2 linked regions of the Diceros bicornis minor genome follow. The protein of the gene in region 1 interacts with the protein of each later gene in a biochemical or structural test. Links are inferred from orthologs where the notes say so. Each region holds a gene or a part of one and is shown in the gene's direction. Other genes may lie near its edges.

What was found.
Region 2: the proteins of GRIP1 (region 1) and CARM1 form a complex in vitro, tested with the Homo sapiens proteins (2 studies listed by BioGRID). The link is inferred for Diceros bicornis minor from reciprocal best matches to the Homo sapiens genes GRIP1 and CARM1.

Annotation. Positions count from the first base shown.
Region 1 is NC_080756.1:4,100,475-4,107,997, forward strand, and holds the start of GRIP1 (glutamate receptor-interacting protein 1), read left to right. Parts: upstream 1-4,510; 5' UTR 4,511-5,331; coding exon 5,332-5,464; intron 5,465-7,523. UniProt on the Homo sapiens protein: May play a role as a localized scaffold for the assembly of a multiprotein signaling complex and as mediator of the trafficking of its binding partners at specific subcellular location in neurons.
Region 2 is NC_080769.1:8,489,073-8,496,032, reverse strand, and holds the start of CARM1 (histone-arginine methyltransferase CARM1), read left to right. Parts: upstream 1-3,956; 5' UTR 3,957-3,971; coding exon 3,972-4,194; intron 4,195-6,960. Other genes in the region: C30H19orf38 (protein HIDE1), read left to right, coding at 1,887-2,036. UniProt on the Homo sapiens protein: Methylates (mono- and asymmetric dimethylation) the guanidino nitrogens of arginyl residues in several proteins involved in DNA packaging, transcription regulation, pre-mRNA splicing, and mRNA stability.

The DNA of each region.
Region 1 (7,523 bases):
CACATGCTTGGAATCATATGGTATGTAGTCTTTTCAGATTGGCTTCTTTCGCTTAGCAGTGTGCATTTAAGTTTCCTCCATGTCTTTTCGGGGCTTGATAGCTCATTTCTCTTTAGCACTGAATAATATTCCGTTATCTGGTGTATCACAGTTTATTTATCCACTCACCTACTGAAGGACATCTTAGTTGCTTCCAAGTTTTGGCAATTATGAGTAAAGCTGCTATAAACATCTGAGTGCAGATTTTTGTGTGAACATAAGTTTTCAACTCCTTTGGGTAAATACCAGGGAGTGTGATTGCTGGATCATATGGTAAGAGTATGTTTAGTTTTGTAAGAAACTGCCAAACTGTCTTCGAAACTGGTTGTACCACTTTGCATTCTCACCAGTAATGAATGAGAGTTCCTGATGCTCCACATCCTTGTCGGCATTTGGTGTTGTCAGTGTTCTGGATTTTGGTCATTCTAATAGGTGTGTAGTAGTATCTCATTGTTGCTTTAATTTGCATTTCCTTGATGACATATGATGTGGAACATCTTTTCATATGCTTTTTTGCCATCTGTGTATCTTCTTTGGCGAAGAGTCTGTTCAAGTCTTTGGCCCATTTTTTAATCAAGTAGTTTGTTTTCTTATTGTTGAGTTTTAAGAATTGTATATTTTGGATAACAGTCATTTATCAGACGTATCTTTTGCAGATATTTTCCCCCAGTCTGTGATTTGTCATTTTATTCTCTTGACATGAAGTATTTTTCACAATTTTAATATAGAGCAAACATATTAATTTTTGCTGCGGTGTCCCTATGACTCAACCCTTGTATTTTCTGTACATTGTATGGAATGGCTTCTGATCATCTCTAAAGTTTGAAATCATTCATTAGAAGTAGGTGCAAGGATCTAACTACATCTTCTGGTGTGGTTGTGTCCTCAGATTTACTAATTTAAATACATATTATTAAACATATATTTAAATATATATTATTATGAAGACATTTTATGTTTAAATTATGTATGCATATGTCCCGTGATCTAGAATTGCATTTAGACTGGTGAAGGGGGATATTACAAGTTATTTGCACAGTAAAGTTGTGTTGGATCTGGCAAGGTTAACAATACCTTCGTTGCCGGGGACCAGCGGGTATTCCCTTGTCTGCCATCCTCAGTGGGTCAGAGTGTCTCCTCCAAGGTCACGGGGATTCTGCCGCAGTTCTTGGCGACACGTGCAAACGCTGTGGCATCTGAAAGTGCTAGATTGACTTAATGTCTCAAAGATTTCTCTGGTAGGCCAGACGTCCCATACTGCTACTCAGAAAAGACTGTAACCATTACTCAATCTAAGTAAACACAGAAGGGTACTACTTAATCAGTGATCTAGGGAAGGGTGTAAATTGAAGATTTAATCTCAGTAGTTGGTCTATTCCTCTTTTCCTAAAAGGGGATGGAGAATCTAATTCAGAAGAGTTTGGAAACTGTGTAAATGCTATTCAGGCAGTTGCCTACTTTTCAGGAAGAAAAGAATTAGCTTTTTTGTTGTTGTTTTTAAATATTTACTAACATATATTTACTGTTCTTGGTTGAAGCACATTTTGTTGAGTAATTCAACCTGCTTTATTTTCTCATGTGAACAAATTTTTTTCTAAGAAATTTAATTTTATAGTTTAGTGAACATTTAGCTCAACTAAAACCAATTTGTCATAGTAATCTGCTTTCTTTACACGAAAATATAGAAGAGCTGAAATTTCTCTTAAAGCAGACAGTGTTTTGGAACCTCACCCGAGGTTCGAGGTTCAAGGTTCGGGGTTCGCAGGCATCAATGCCTGCAGGGCCAGGTGGTAACTGATTGAGAGAGTTGGCCCCGGGGAGGGGAGAAGACAGTGACTAAGAGGAAAGCATATGTTATTTTATGGCTGGCAGCCACCACTCAGCTCTAATCAATAGTTGCCATGTTGGAATTGGGCCTAAAGTTGCCTGATCTTTTGACTTTTTAAGAAAAAAGCAAATGTCTGATTATTTGTGAATTTCCTGACTTTTAGATATTGGTCCAATTCAAAAAAACAAACAAACCAAACAACACTTATGTGAGCCAAACAAAACACATTTGTGGGAGATACTTGTCCCGTGAACTGCCATTTGCAACCTCTCAACCGTCTGATCTGTTTAGACCGAAGAGTGCAATAGCTGGTGAGTCACACCACTTACCAGCGTTCATGCTACAGCGTGAAAGGGCGATTTTCTCGACAGAAGCAGTAGTACAACTAACTGAGTGGACTTGAACTTCACTGTACTAATTTTTCAATTGTTGTGGGGTGTTAGCTAACTGCTGCGTACCAGCAAGTCCTTGTAGATTTTAGATTGGTCCTCCATTGCTAAACATGGAGGATTTGGGATAGAAGATGGGAAAAATTCAGAGAGGTGGACACAGGAAGGCTGATGCAAGGATCTGGTCCACCTGCACCACCCCTCAGGCAGAGCAGCAGTGTCTTGCCTTCTGTCTTCTGAATTGTGACATATATACACAGGCTTCCCCTCCCTCACATGGCATGCTGCCACATTCTTTCATGCTTTGTGACCCAACTAGACCTCCTCTAAATAACAGATGCCCTATTCCTGCTTCCCAAGCATCTAGGATTATTCTCCTCTACCATACCCCTCCAAGTATATGGCTGAACTCTAAACTCTTCCTTAGCACTGCCAAACTTCATCTTGTGTAAAAATTTTGTCATTATAATCAGATACCAAAATGTTAACCTCCCAAATAAAATCCTTCAAAACTGGGAAAATAATAGAAAGGTGCTGTAGCATAATTTCTGTTTATTTCTGAAATATGAAGTTTGGTATGTAGACAATTTTACTTTGCATTGATTCTATTCAAAAATAGTTGCTTACCACTGCCTGAGAAAATCTAATTCTCTTTAAATACTGAAATTAAAAATCAGTAAACTGTAGCGGAATGTTTTAAGTTGGTCTATGTAAAAAGCATCTTCACTCTATCGAAGCATCATCTGCTCTATAATGTCAGTCCTTTTAGATCAAACTGGGAGTTTAAAACTACAAAACTTAAGGAACGTGTACTCCACTAATTTAGGAGTTATAATTCAGGCGTAGTTGGGTAAAATTTGGTGCCTGCATAATCTCTGGGGTCAAGTGTACTTGACGAATTAATCACATACACCAGAATATATGTTTAGCCCAATTAAAAATGAAAGTCAGCTATTTTCAAATCCCGTGTGAATAGCAAACATATAGAAAACAATGAAATACGGAATGCAAACAATTCTTAGAAAGACAAGATAATCTCTGAATTTGTATGAAAAAAGTACCTGGTACGAGGTAGTACTTGGCAGTGTTAACCTTCGCAATCTTGGACAAGCCACTAAGACATCTTTGAACCTTCCTTCTGCATCCATAGAAATATCACCTCATTGTAAAGGTTGATAGGAGGATTAAATAAAGAGATTATGTATTGTTATCATCACTTATTTAATGACTATTCAAGATCTAGACTCCAGATCTTCAAAGTTGTAGTTCACTGTTTTTTAATTGTTTAGTTTACTTTGGTTGAGGGAGTCAGAATTATAAAGAAAGGATTTGGAACCAAGGACAAGTGATTTTTTGTTTAAAGGTATTCATAAAACATTTTATAGCATCTTTTTGTCAGCATCATTAAGTTTGTGTTTCTCTTCACAAACTCACTCATAGGCATAAAAAAAATGGGAAATCTCTAGGAATCGGGGAAATTCATGTAACCATTCAACCTAACTTTTACACATTTCAGAGCTGAAATATTCTTGGTTGATGAATATTTACCTCTCTAAGTAAATGTCTCCCTACTCCATCATTAGCAATTAATATCTGAAAATAGAGAACCGTCTCAATTTAGAGAGGTGGATTGCCTGTGAATCTAACAGAGTGCAGAGTGCAATCATTTCCCTCTGGAATCCTCCTACAGACTTGATATTGCATAGATATTGACGACCTTTATACAGTAGGCAGCTTTTTAAAAAATGACGTTTCTGGGAACAGGGAGCTGCAGCATATTATTAGTTTAGTAGGGAATATGCTGACATGTTTGATTAATTATGTTGTAAACAAATTGAATTTTTCCTAGTGTTAAAAATCTGCATTCGTTTAAAGAGCTGAAGAAAGAAGCTAGAGAGAAAATGATCCATGAGTGACGCTGACCTGTCTAGACTGTAGAGTACCTCTTCGTCTACTCTGAAGTGTTTCTGATTGTGGTACTTAGAGAAAACATTGCTTGTGATTTTAGAGACAAAGGATGAACAGAGTGTGACATATTTTGAAACTTCTCTCCCCCCTCCATCTTCACCAAAAACTAAGTTTTATTTGCTATTTAGCCCATTTGTTTTCATATATTTTTAAAACGTGTAACGACTCAGAAAGGTGCAGATTTGAGTTTGGTGTAAGCCGAGTTGGATTATTTGTGTTTCTCTTCTCTAAAACCATGTGGTTTCCTTGATTTGCTTACTGTGATCTGCCGTACCTAGCCTACGAGCAGCCTCTCTGTGAAGCGCATTTCAATATTTAGATCAAACAGCGATTGGAATACATTAATGCCCAGCGGGTAAACGTGTCATTTGAAAGCAGCTGCTGAGCCTTCTCTCTGCTGCTCCAATTAACACGTACAGCACACTTTTGTCAGCAAGAGGCAGTACATATGGATGAAACCACTTTGCTGCTCATGAATATGATATGCAAGCGCGCACAAAGGGTTAATCCGTCTGCCCGTTGCAAAACAATAGCTTTCCAAGAAGTTTCCCAAGCACGTGCTTTGCGATCGGGGCGCTAGGATTAGGGGGTGGGATTAGCGGGTAAGAAAGAGTCGGTGCAGTCTCTAGCTTTGGTTCAGTCCATTGACTAACAAGTTTCCCCGCCCCTCTCTTCTCCTCCACCCCCGCCCCGATGATGGAGACGCTGGAGAGGGCATTTCTAGCGCGGGCACCCCTCTCGCCTCAGCTGAATCTCCTGTTGAACTTTGTTCTGTTTTGTGTTGAAGTCCAAAGCTTTGCTGCTTGTTTTTTCTCGTAGTCTTTCATTATCATTTCACTTTCTCTCTCTTTTCCTTTTTTTTTTTTTCTAAGTTGCACATTTGACAGTTTATTGAGCAAAGTAAGAAATCTTGTCAACCCCATATCGCTGTGATGTCCCCCCTCCCATGGCTCGATTCTCTGCGTTGATGGTGGCACAGAGGCAGATGGAAGGGTAGCGCGTCCGGCGCGGGTTGGTGCTGGGCGTTCATGCTCCCCCAGCTCCCGGAGCAGCTGGGCTGTGCTCCGCTCTGGTGCTGGCTGAGCCAGGCTGCAGGGTGAGTGAGAGATGGACCGCTTCCTGGGTTTTGTCAAGCAGATAAGAAGATCTAGGAGAAGAAAGGGAAAAAAGTACCGACCAGAAGAGGATTACCACGAGGGCTATGAGGATGTCTATTATTACGCTGCAGAGCATTTTCGAAGTAAGCGCTCCCCTCCACCCTCCGTTCCTTCTCGCATGCTGGGGCTAACAATAAACCTTGTGTGGAGCTTTAATCTTAAATGCAAAAGGTTTCCCAGATGGTGTTCTCTGTGAGCCTTCTGTAAGGACTGAAGTGCTACATTTTGCTTGTTTTGTTGTGAGAATAGCCATCAGGTAGCATCTAGACAGTATAACCAGTCTAGGTCTATGCACGTTAATATGTTAGGTGCAATTAATTATGTTATCATTTTAATGAGCCATTCAAAAAAGTACCTTGCAAACCAGTGTAGTAGGTGATTAGAATATGTTCTGTTGTAGTTATTGTTTTTGGATAACTGGGTTTTTTCTTCCTGAATAGGGAAGGCTAGCTTATTTGGAAGAAATAATTGTTCATATTCAGGTTGACGCTGATGATTAAAGCTCCTGATACAGACTTCCAGACAGTTATCTGTGATTAATCTGAGGGATTGTTTGTAGAAGGAAGTTCAAATGCTTTTCTCTGGTGCATGTTCATAATTTTGTTATTAAATTAAGGAAACTTTGCTATCAACTAGATGCAGCAATATCTGTAGAATAAAACAATGTATCCATATTAAGACGTTTATAAATTAGCTTATAAAGAGCAGAGAACTAGAATTTTTCTTGTACTTATCAGTGCTGTACATTCCTGGTGAGGTTTAGACTTGTCTTGATAGATTTTAGATGCCCAGAAATGCCTAAGGGTGCAGAGAGAAAAAGCAGCTACATGAAGAGACCATTGGGTTTATGAGGTGCCCTTAATTGGGGAAACTGACAGTTATGTATGATCTACATTTACGAAGTTACAAATTATTTTTTTATCTTCTTGAATATGGATCTTTATAAACTTGTGTTTCAATCTTAATTCTTCCCAGAGTTTTGATGTCTAACCTTGAATATATCCCAGTTACAACCTCTGAGCATTGACTGATAAATAATTTAGATTCCATTTCTGTGGTATTAAAATCCATGAGAATTAGTTCCAAATGCCAGAAATTCTGTTGTGATTGATGAAAGTTGAGGGTTGAAAATTCATGTGGTGGCAGTAACACAATAATGCAAAATTCTTTGACATTTTCTTGAATAATATGGCTATGTTGCCTTTACAGAGTAAACTCAGAGTTGTAGAGATGTTTCTTTTTTATGAAACTTTCACATGAATCAATCTCTCTCAAATGCCTTCATCCTACTAGTTTTGGTAAGAATTGGAAAATAACAGAGATACTTTATAAGTTTTCAAAATGTGCCTGCAAGGAGAAATATTTATGGAGGTATCTCAGAAACATCCCCAAACTAGAGTTAAGAAAATGATAGAGTTAAGGCAGTGGTCTTTTTACATCAAGTGCAGCAACTTAAAGAGAACCGTGTCTTAACTTATCTGATTTGTCAAGGTCGTGGTAAGGATAACATGCTAAACATCAAGAGTCATTTACTTCAGATGTTTTCCTCTATGTCTTATCAGAAAGCGCCCGTTAAGTAATACACAACTTTGTAGAGTTAGATGCACATTGAGTCCCCAACTTCAAGCTGCTACATAATAAACAGAATGTGTCACAGTGGATTCGGGCCCTTGGGATTTGACATTTCTTCAAATGTCAGACAGCCTGGGCTTTTAAAGAGGATGTGTCATATAACATAATGCCCTCTCGGTGCATTGGCTTCAGTTTCAGGGTGTCTCTGAATTGGGTGGGGGAGACATCCACTTGTATTTTATGGCTGTAGAAAAGCACTAAAGGGTGAGACTGATCCTTAAAACCAATCCTCTCAAATGGGTAATAAGGTTGAATTCAATTACATCTATGGCATATCTATTTTAATTAGTCTTTGGCATAATTTAAAAGTTTATGCCCTGTGTTTCCCTAGATGGCTTAGAAAAACTATTTACATTTAGGCTGAAAACTTGGTGGAATTTGCTGATGACATTTCCATCTTAGTTAATGGTGCTGCTGGTAAACCACAAGCGTCGATCCTGTTTTTCTTTCTATAGTGTTTTTTTCTTGAAAGAAATTTAACTCTCTGTCTTGTCAATTCATCTAGTGATT
Region 2 (6,960 bases), on another chromosome or scaffold:
CTCTGGCGGCTGCAGGGAGGATAGACTGGGGGGGCGTGGACGGACTGGCGCCGCGGGACCGCGGCGGAGGCGGCTGCCTCCGGGCTCGCGAAGTGATGGGTGGTCTGGACTAGTGTGTTGGCAGCGGAGGTGGAAGAAACGAACGGATGCAGGTCAGCTGGATTCAGCGGAGGGGAACCAATGCACTGATTTTGGATTGGACGAGTGGGTGGAGGGAGGAGGAGGAGGTGTGGGAGAGTCCTGGAGAGGGGCGGGCTTGGAGGGACAAGAGAGCGGCCCTGTCACCCGGTGATGCCCAAGAGCGGATGAGTCTGGAGTTCAGCAGAGGAGCAGGGAAGTTTAAACTGGCCCCCTGTCCCTGGTACACAGATGGTGGGAAGGAAGGACCTTGGCACTGGCCGGCTCAGCCCTCTGAGGTCCCAGCTCTGGGAACAAATCCTGAGCTGTTAAGAAAAACCCAGCAGGTAGGGCAAGTTCTAAAACTTTCCTTGAGAAGCCACACTGCTCAAGGCACAGCCTGGTGATTTTTCAGGGTTTTTTTTTTTTTTTTTGGTGAGGAAGATTGGCCCTGAGCTAACATCTGTGCCCATCTTCCTCTATTTTGTATGTGGGTCGCTGCCACAGCGTGGCTGATGAGTGGTGTAGGTCCACACCCCCGGATCTGAACCCACGAACCTGGGCTGCCAAAGTGGAGTGCACGAATGTAACCGCTATGCCGCGGGGCCAGCCCGTATGCTCACACTTTTAACACAAATGATAGCATGCTATCCACACTGTTATGCACAGTGCTTCTTTTCCTTAACAGTAAATTCTAGTGATCTTTTCTAGTTTCTTTTTTTTATTGTGGTAAAATATACATAAAATTTACCATTTCAGCCATTTTTAAGTTCAGTGGCATTAAGCACATTCACATGGTTGTGCAACCATCACCACCATCCATCCCCAGAACATTTCCATGTTCCAAACTGAAACTCTGTCCCCGTTAAACACTAACTCCCTATCCCCCTCCCCAGCCCCTGGCACCCGCCATTCTACTCTCTGTCTCTACGGATTTGCCTATTTTGGACATTTTATAGAGAAATGATGCCACACAATGTTCATCCTTTTTGCGTCTGGGTTATTTCACTGAGCATAGTGTCTTCAAGGTTCATCCATGTTGTGGCTGTGTCAGAATTTCACCCCTTTTTATGGCTGAATAATATTCCATTGTCTGGATACACCACGGTCATCCGTCAATGGACACTTAGGTTGCTTCCACCTTTTGGCTATTGTGAATCATGCTGCTGTGAACACGGGTGTAGAAATATCTGTCAGAGCCCTTGCTTTCAATTCTAGTTTCTTTCTGAAGCATCAGAAAGCTATCCTGTTGGCTGAAATATCAGAAATGAAGCAGCTGACAGGGGCCGGCCCCATGGCCTAGTGATTAAGTTTGTACACTCCGCTTTGGCAGCCCAGGTTGGCAGGTTCAGATCCTGGGCATGGACCTACACCAGTCGTCAGCCATGCCGTGGCGGTGACCCACATACAAAATAGTGGAAGACTGGCACAGATGTTAGCTCAGGGCTAATCTTCCTCAGCAAAAAAAAAAAAAAAAAAAGAGGAAGATTGGCAATGGATATTAGCTCAGGGCGAATCTTCCTTTGCTGAGGTCACACCAGTAGGACGAGGTGGAGCTGGGACTTGAACCCGGGGTGCCTGGTCCCCTGTTCAGCAGAGAGGAAGGCAGGAGGGCAGAAGGCAGGACCAGGGTCCTGAAGCTGTGAGGTGCCTGTGTGTGTGTGGGGGGGGGGTGAGATGAGACCTGAGGGACTGGGGGAGTCTCAGAACATGGGGAAGCCCGAGATCCTGAAATCACGCGGTTCTCTATTTTTCTTCCCCAAACAAAGAAAATGACTTTGGAAGGAGACACGGCCACCACGGATGCTCACTCAGGCTCCGCTGTGACACCTGGCAGTTCCGAGTCCCGGAAGAGGCCCACCTGCACACCATCCTCGCCTGAGCCCCCGGAATTCAGCACTTTCCGGGTCTCCCCGTGAGGCCGAGGATCGGGGGCCCCTCTCTCTGTGTCCGTGCGCCCCCCATTCAGCCCTCTCCCTTGAGCTGGCCGGGTGCGTGGGGCCAGAGGTCCCTCCAGCTACTTCGGGGGCCTGGCTGTCTCTCTCTCAGGGAATTGAACAGAGGAGACGAAGGGGGCCCCTGGCCTTGGCACCTACCTCACAGAGGAGCAGGAGTGGGAGAGGGGGCGCGGGCATTGGCCTGGAGCCTGGATGGAAAGCAGGAAGCTTCCTTTTGGATTCCCAGCTTCTCAGACCTCCAGGGAAAGAGACGTTAGGAACCCTCTGGCCCCCAGCTGGGCCACAAGAGGTCTGAGCTCTGCACACACCCCTCTGATTCCCCCCATCTTCCAGCCACACCTGACTGGGCCAACCCGACTGGGTTTTTGGATCATGGGGTACCCAGGGTATGTTCTGAGTGTCTGCCCTGCTGGCATGCCTAAGTTATTAATTATAACGCGTGTTGAGCTCTTTCCAAGGCGTCTGTGGAGTGTAATCCTTCAAGCCCGGGATCTCTGGGGTCCAATCACCCGATGCCTGGGGGGAGGGGGAGTACCCCTCAAATGCATGCAGTCAGGGTGGTGTGTGGGGAGGCCCATGGGGGTGCGGGGAGGGGGCAGTGCCACGCGGAGTCTCTGCTCAAGTCCTTGCACTGGTGGGTAGAGGAGGTGGACTGATGAGGATGGGGCAGAGGGACACGGGGAGAATGAGTAGGTCCAGGGAAGGGCGCGAGCTGGGCAAGATGGGAAGAGGCCGCAAGCCTCTCTGGGTCCCCCAAAACGGAGTGGGGCCCTGGAGCAGTGGAGGGGGGACTTGGAGGGAAGATGTGTGTGGATGCTCTGCTGGGTTCACTGGCCAGCCATCACTGGGGGAAGGGAGAGTAACTGGGGGAGGGAAGGGGCTAAGGGAGGGGTCCAAGAATATTTTGTGGGGGAGGAGACCGTGAAGGGCCGAGGATGGAGGAGGAGGGCGCTGTGGGAAGGGGACGGAGACGATCGGGAAGAGACAAGGCGCGGTGGACCGCCGGGGAGAGGGCTTTCCCACAGGCTGTTCACGCCCTGCGAGAGGCCGAGCCCCACCGCAAACTGCTTTCCCAGCCCGGCGGGCTGGGGGCGTGGCCACGGCGGGGCGTGTCCCTAATCCTGGCCCCGCCCCTCACGCCGGCCCTCCTGGAGAGCCAGGTGCCTCACAAAGCGAGGCCCTGTGGGCGGGAGCAGGGCCGGGATAGGGGCGGGGCCCAGCTGCGACGAGGCCCCGCCCCTCCGCGTGCCGCCTCACAAAGCCGGGCGGGGCCAGGGGCGGAGCCCAGCCTCAGGGGCGTGTGGACGCCGGCGGGCGTCAGACCCGCCCCCGCCGTTCCCCGGGCCGGGGAGCCGCCTCACAAAGCGCGGCCGTTGGCGCGGGGCGGGGCCCGGGGCGTGTCCGCGAGGCCTAGCCCCGCCCCCTAACGCGCGCTCCCGCCCCTCCCCGCCACCCCCGGTCGTCCGCACCCGCACCGCCTTACACAGCGCGGCCGTCGAGCCGCGCCGGGCTGGGGGCGTGGCCCAGGCTGGGGGCGTGTCCGCGCGGCCGAGCACCGCCCCCTGACGCACGCTCCGGCCCCCGCTCTTCCTGGGCGGTGGAGCCACCTCACAAAGCGGCGACCGTTCGCGCGGGGCGGGGCGGGGCGGGGCCGACTCCGCCCCCCGTCGCGCCTGCTCCCCGCGCCAGAGCCGCCGGCAGGGGGCGCTGCGCCGCGGGGCCGGGCCGTGGCGGCGGTGGCGGCGAGGCGGCGCGTGGCCTGCAGGCGGCGCTGCCCGGCTCGGCCTCGGCCTCGGCCTGCGCGGCGGCGGCAGCGGCGGCGGCGGCGGCGGCGGCCTGGGCCCGGGCGCGGCGGCGGCGGCGGCGGCGGCGGCGGGGCCTGGAGCCGGATCTAAGATGGCAGCGGCGGCGGCGGCGGCGGCGGGGCCGGGCGCGGGCGGCGCGGGGCCGGCGGTCCCGGGCGGCGCGGGGCCCTGCGCGGCCGTGTCGGTGTTCCACGGCGCCCGCCTGCTCACCATCGGCGACGCGAACGGCGAGATCCAGCGGCACGCGGAGCAGCAGGCGCTGCGCCTCGAGGTGCGCGCCGGCCCGGACGCGGCGGGCATCGCCCTCTACAGCCGTGAGTGGGGCCCGGGGCCGGGGGGCGCGCTGCGGGGTCCGTGGGGCCGAGCCCGGGAGGGGCCCCGAGGAAGGGGTGCGCAGGGACGATGTCAAGGGACAGAGAGGAAAGAGGGCGTGCGTGGTGGCCGGAGGCGGCCGGAGTGCGCAGGGAAGCGGGAAATGGGGAGTGAGGGCCCTGAGATTGGGAGGGGTGGGCAGGAAGTGGGGGGCCGAGAGTGGAAGGGGAGTTGGGCGGAAGCTGGGGGGAAGGGAGGGGAGGGGGCCCGGGGTGGGCGAGAGGTGGGAGTCTGGGTGCGGGTGGGGCCGCCCCGGGGGGGAGGAAGGTGGGCTGTGGGCAGCCTCTGGCCATCTCGGGGGACCCCCTGGACCGCTATGGACAGTCGGAAAGTGGTGCCCAGTCTGGGGCGGCCTGCAAGACCCGGTTCCAGCCATCTGGAGGGCTTGGCCTTGCGGACCCCCGAGTGGGAAACTTCTAGATCTGGGGAGAGGGCCCATGCGAGCCGCTGGAGGTGCCCCTGGTGGAAACGTGGACGGGGAGGGCCCCGTCTTGCTGCCCGGCTCCGAAGTAAGAGGTAACCCAGCCGCCTCCTCCTCCGCCACGGTTCTCCGATCTTCCTTTTGGGGGATGTGAGAAGCTGGTTATCTATTCAGAAGCTAGTTTCAAAACTGATGTTTCAGTGGAAAAAAGAAATCACGAACGTGTTGGCCAAGGACCCCGAGTCTTCCTAGTTCATCCGTTTTCTTTCTCTTGTTCCTCTGGCTTCTCTGTCCCCTGATGCCACTGTTCACGTTTTGCTATTCTGTTTCATTCAGTTTTGTCCCTCAGGGTTTCTTGCAGTGACGCTCTGAGGAGGCCTTTGGTGCCATTAGCCTGTGTGAATATTTTGCCACTTCGGGAACGGGGTGTTCGGAAGGGAAGTGTGTGGAGTGGTTGGTTCACACAAGGTTCTCCCCCCTCCTCGACTTGGAAGATTTAAACTAAGGGAGCTGTGTCTGTTTGCCAGTGTCGCATCTCTCTTGCTGGGGCAGAGGTTGGTCCTCTTGGAGCAGAGGAGAGGGAAGAAGTGTATGCTGGGTGGGCATCAGAGCCCAGGACAGACACTTAAGCTCCCTCTTAATCTCAGCAGGATCCCCCAGCTGATAAGGATGGCCATTCATTCAGCAAGAATTAACAGGGAACAGAATAAAGTCAGGCAGCGTTTCTCAAACTGGGGTCCCAGGGCTGCTCCTCAAAAGAGTTCCAGGAGAGTCAATTTTTCCTTTGTAAATAAACTTTTTTTGATTTTAGAACAGTTTTAGGTTTATAGAATTATTGGGGAGATAGTACAGAGAGTTCCCATATACTCCACACCCAGTCTCCCCAATTCTTCACATCTTTCTTTGGGAGTTTGTACTTCTGTGTTTTTGTTTTGTGGATAATCTCGAAATGATTCTGAGTTATAACACTTCTCTTTTCGAGGTAATTCGTAACTGAAGCGTTCGGAAGGAGGAGAAAGTCCACGTTTCTCAAACTGAGATCTTCTGTCTGGGATGATACAGTCTCAGGAGTCAAAGAACTTTTTTCCTTTATGCTCAGATAACGTTGGTGTGGGTTCTGGAGTCAGCTGAACCTGGTTCTGATAGTTTCCCAGGGCTGCCGGAACAAACTTGGTGGCTTAAACAAAAAGGGATGCACTGTCTTACAATCCACGGCCAGAAGTCCGAAATCAAAGTGTCAGGGAGGCCACACTCCCTCCAGAGGCCCTGGAGGAGAATCTTTTCTTGCCTTTTCCAGCTTCCGCGGGCTGCATGCGGTGCTTAGCTTGCGGCAGCACATCTCCGGTCTCTGCCTCTGTCTCCACGTGGCCTCACCCCTGTGTCTCTCTGTCTCTTGTCCTCTAAGGACACCTGTCATTGGATTTAGGGCCCACCCTAAATCCAGGATGATTTTATTTTTAAGAGCCTTAAGGTCATCTGCAAAGACCGTTTTTCCAGATAAGGTCACTTTCACAGGTTCCTGGGGTCAGGGCTTGGACATATGTTTTAGGGTCCACTACGTGGGCTAGAGCGGTGCCCGCCAGTCGCTGGGGGTCTCTGTGGCTCATTGGTGGAGCGGGGGTGATGAAAGGACTGTGTGGCACAGCGTGTTTGCTCCATAAGTGAACACTTCTGTGGAGTGGCACCTGCTCCCGTAATGGGCTGGTGATGGCGTCCAAGTTGGCTGGTCGCTGCCCAGGGCGAGGCCGCCCTGGTTCCCGAGCAGCCTGGAGCACGCGGTGCGCCGGAGGCATTGCTCTGAATCGTGCCTGGGTGGGGGAGTGCAAAGTCCCAGGGCTGGGGCACAGGGCTGTGCACCTGGATCTGAGAGCACTGGGCGCTGGCTGACGGTCCCCTGGAAAAGTCAGAGATGGTCCAGCCACTGGGGGGATGCCTGGGGACGTGGCAGCTGGACAGGTCAAGGAGGAGCGCCCCTCATGACTTGGGGGTGAACCAGGCTGCTGGGGGCTTTAGGCCTTCTCTTGGGATGAACTTCCTTCACTGGCCTCAGCGTGTTCCAACCTGGACCCTTCTGGGATCTGGATGCCTTGGCCAGCCCTGTTCCGCTCACCTGTCCCTCACGAGGCGGCATCCTGCAAGCTGCTTGTGATTCCACACCCCTGAGATTCGAATCTCTGTGTGGATGGGGACAGGGACGTGGGCCGAGACACCCACAGGAATCTCCCAGTGCCTCACACGTGGGAGGTGAGCCCGAGGTGTCCTTGGTGCTGGCGAGGGTTCTGAACGT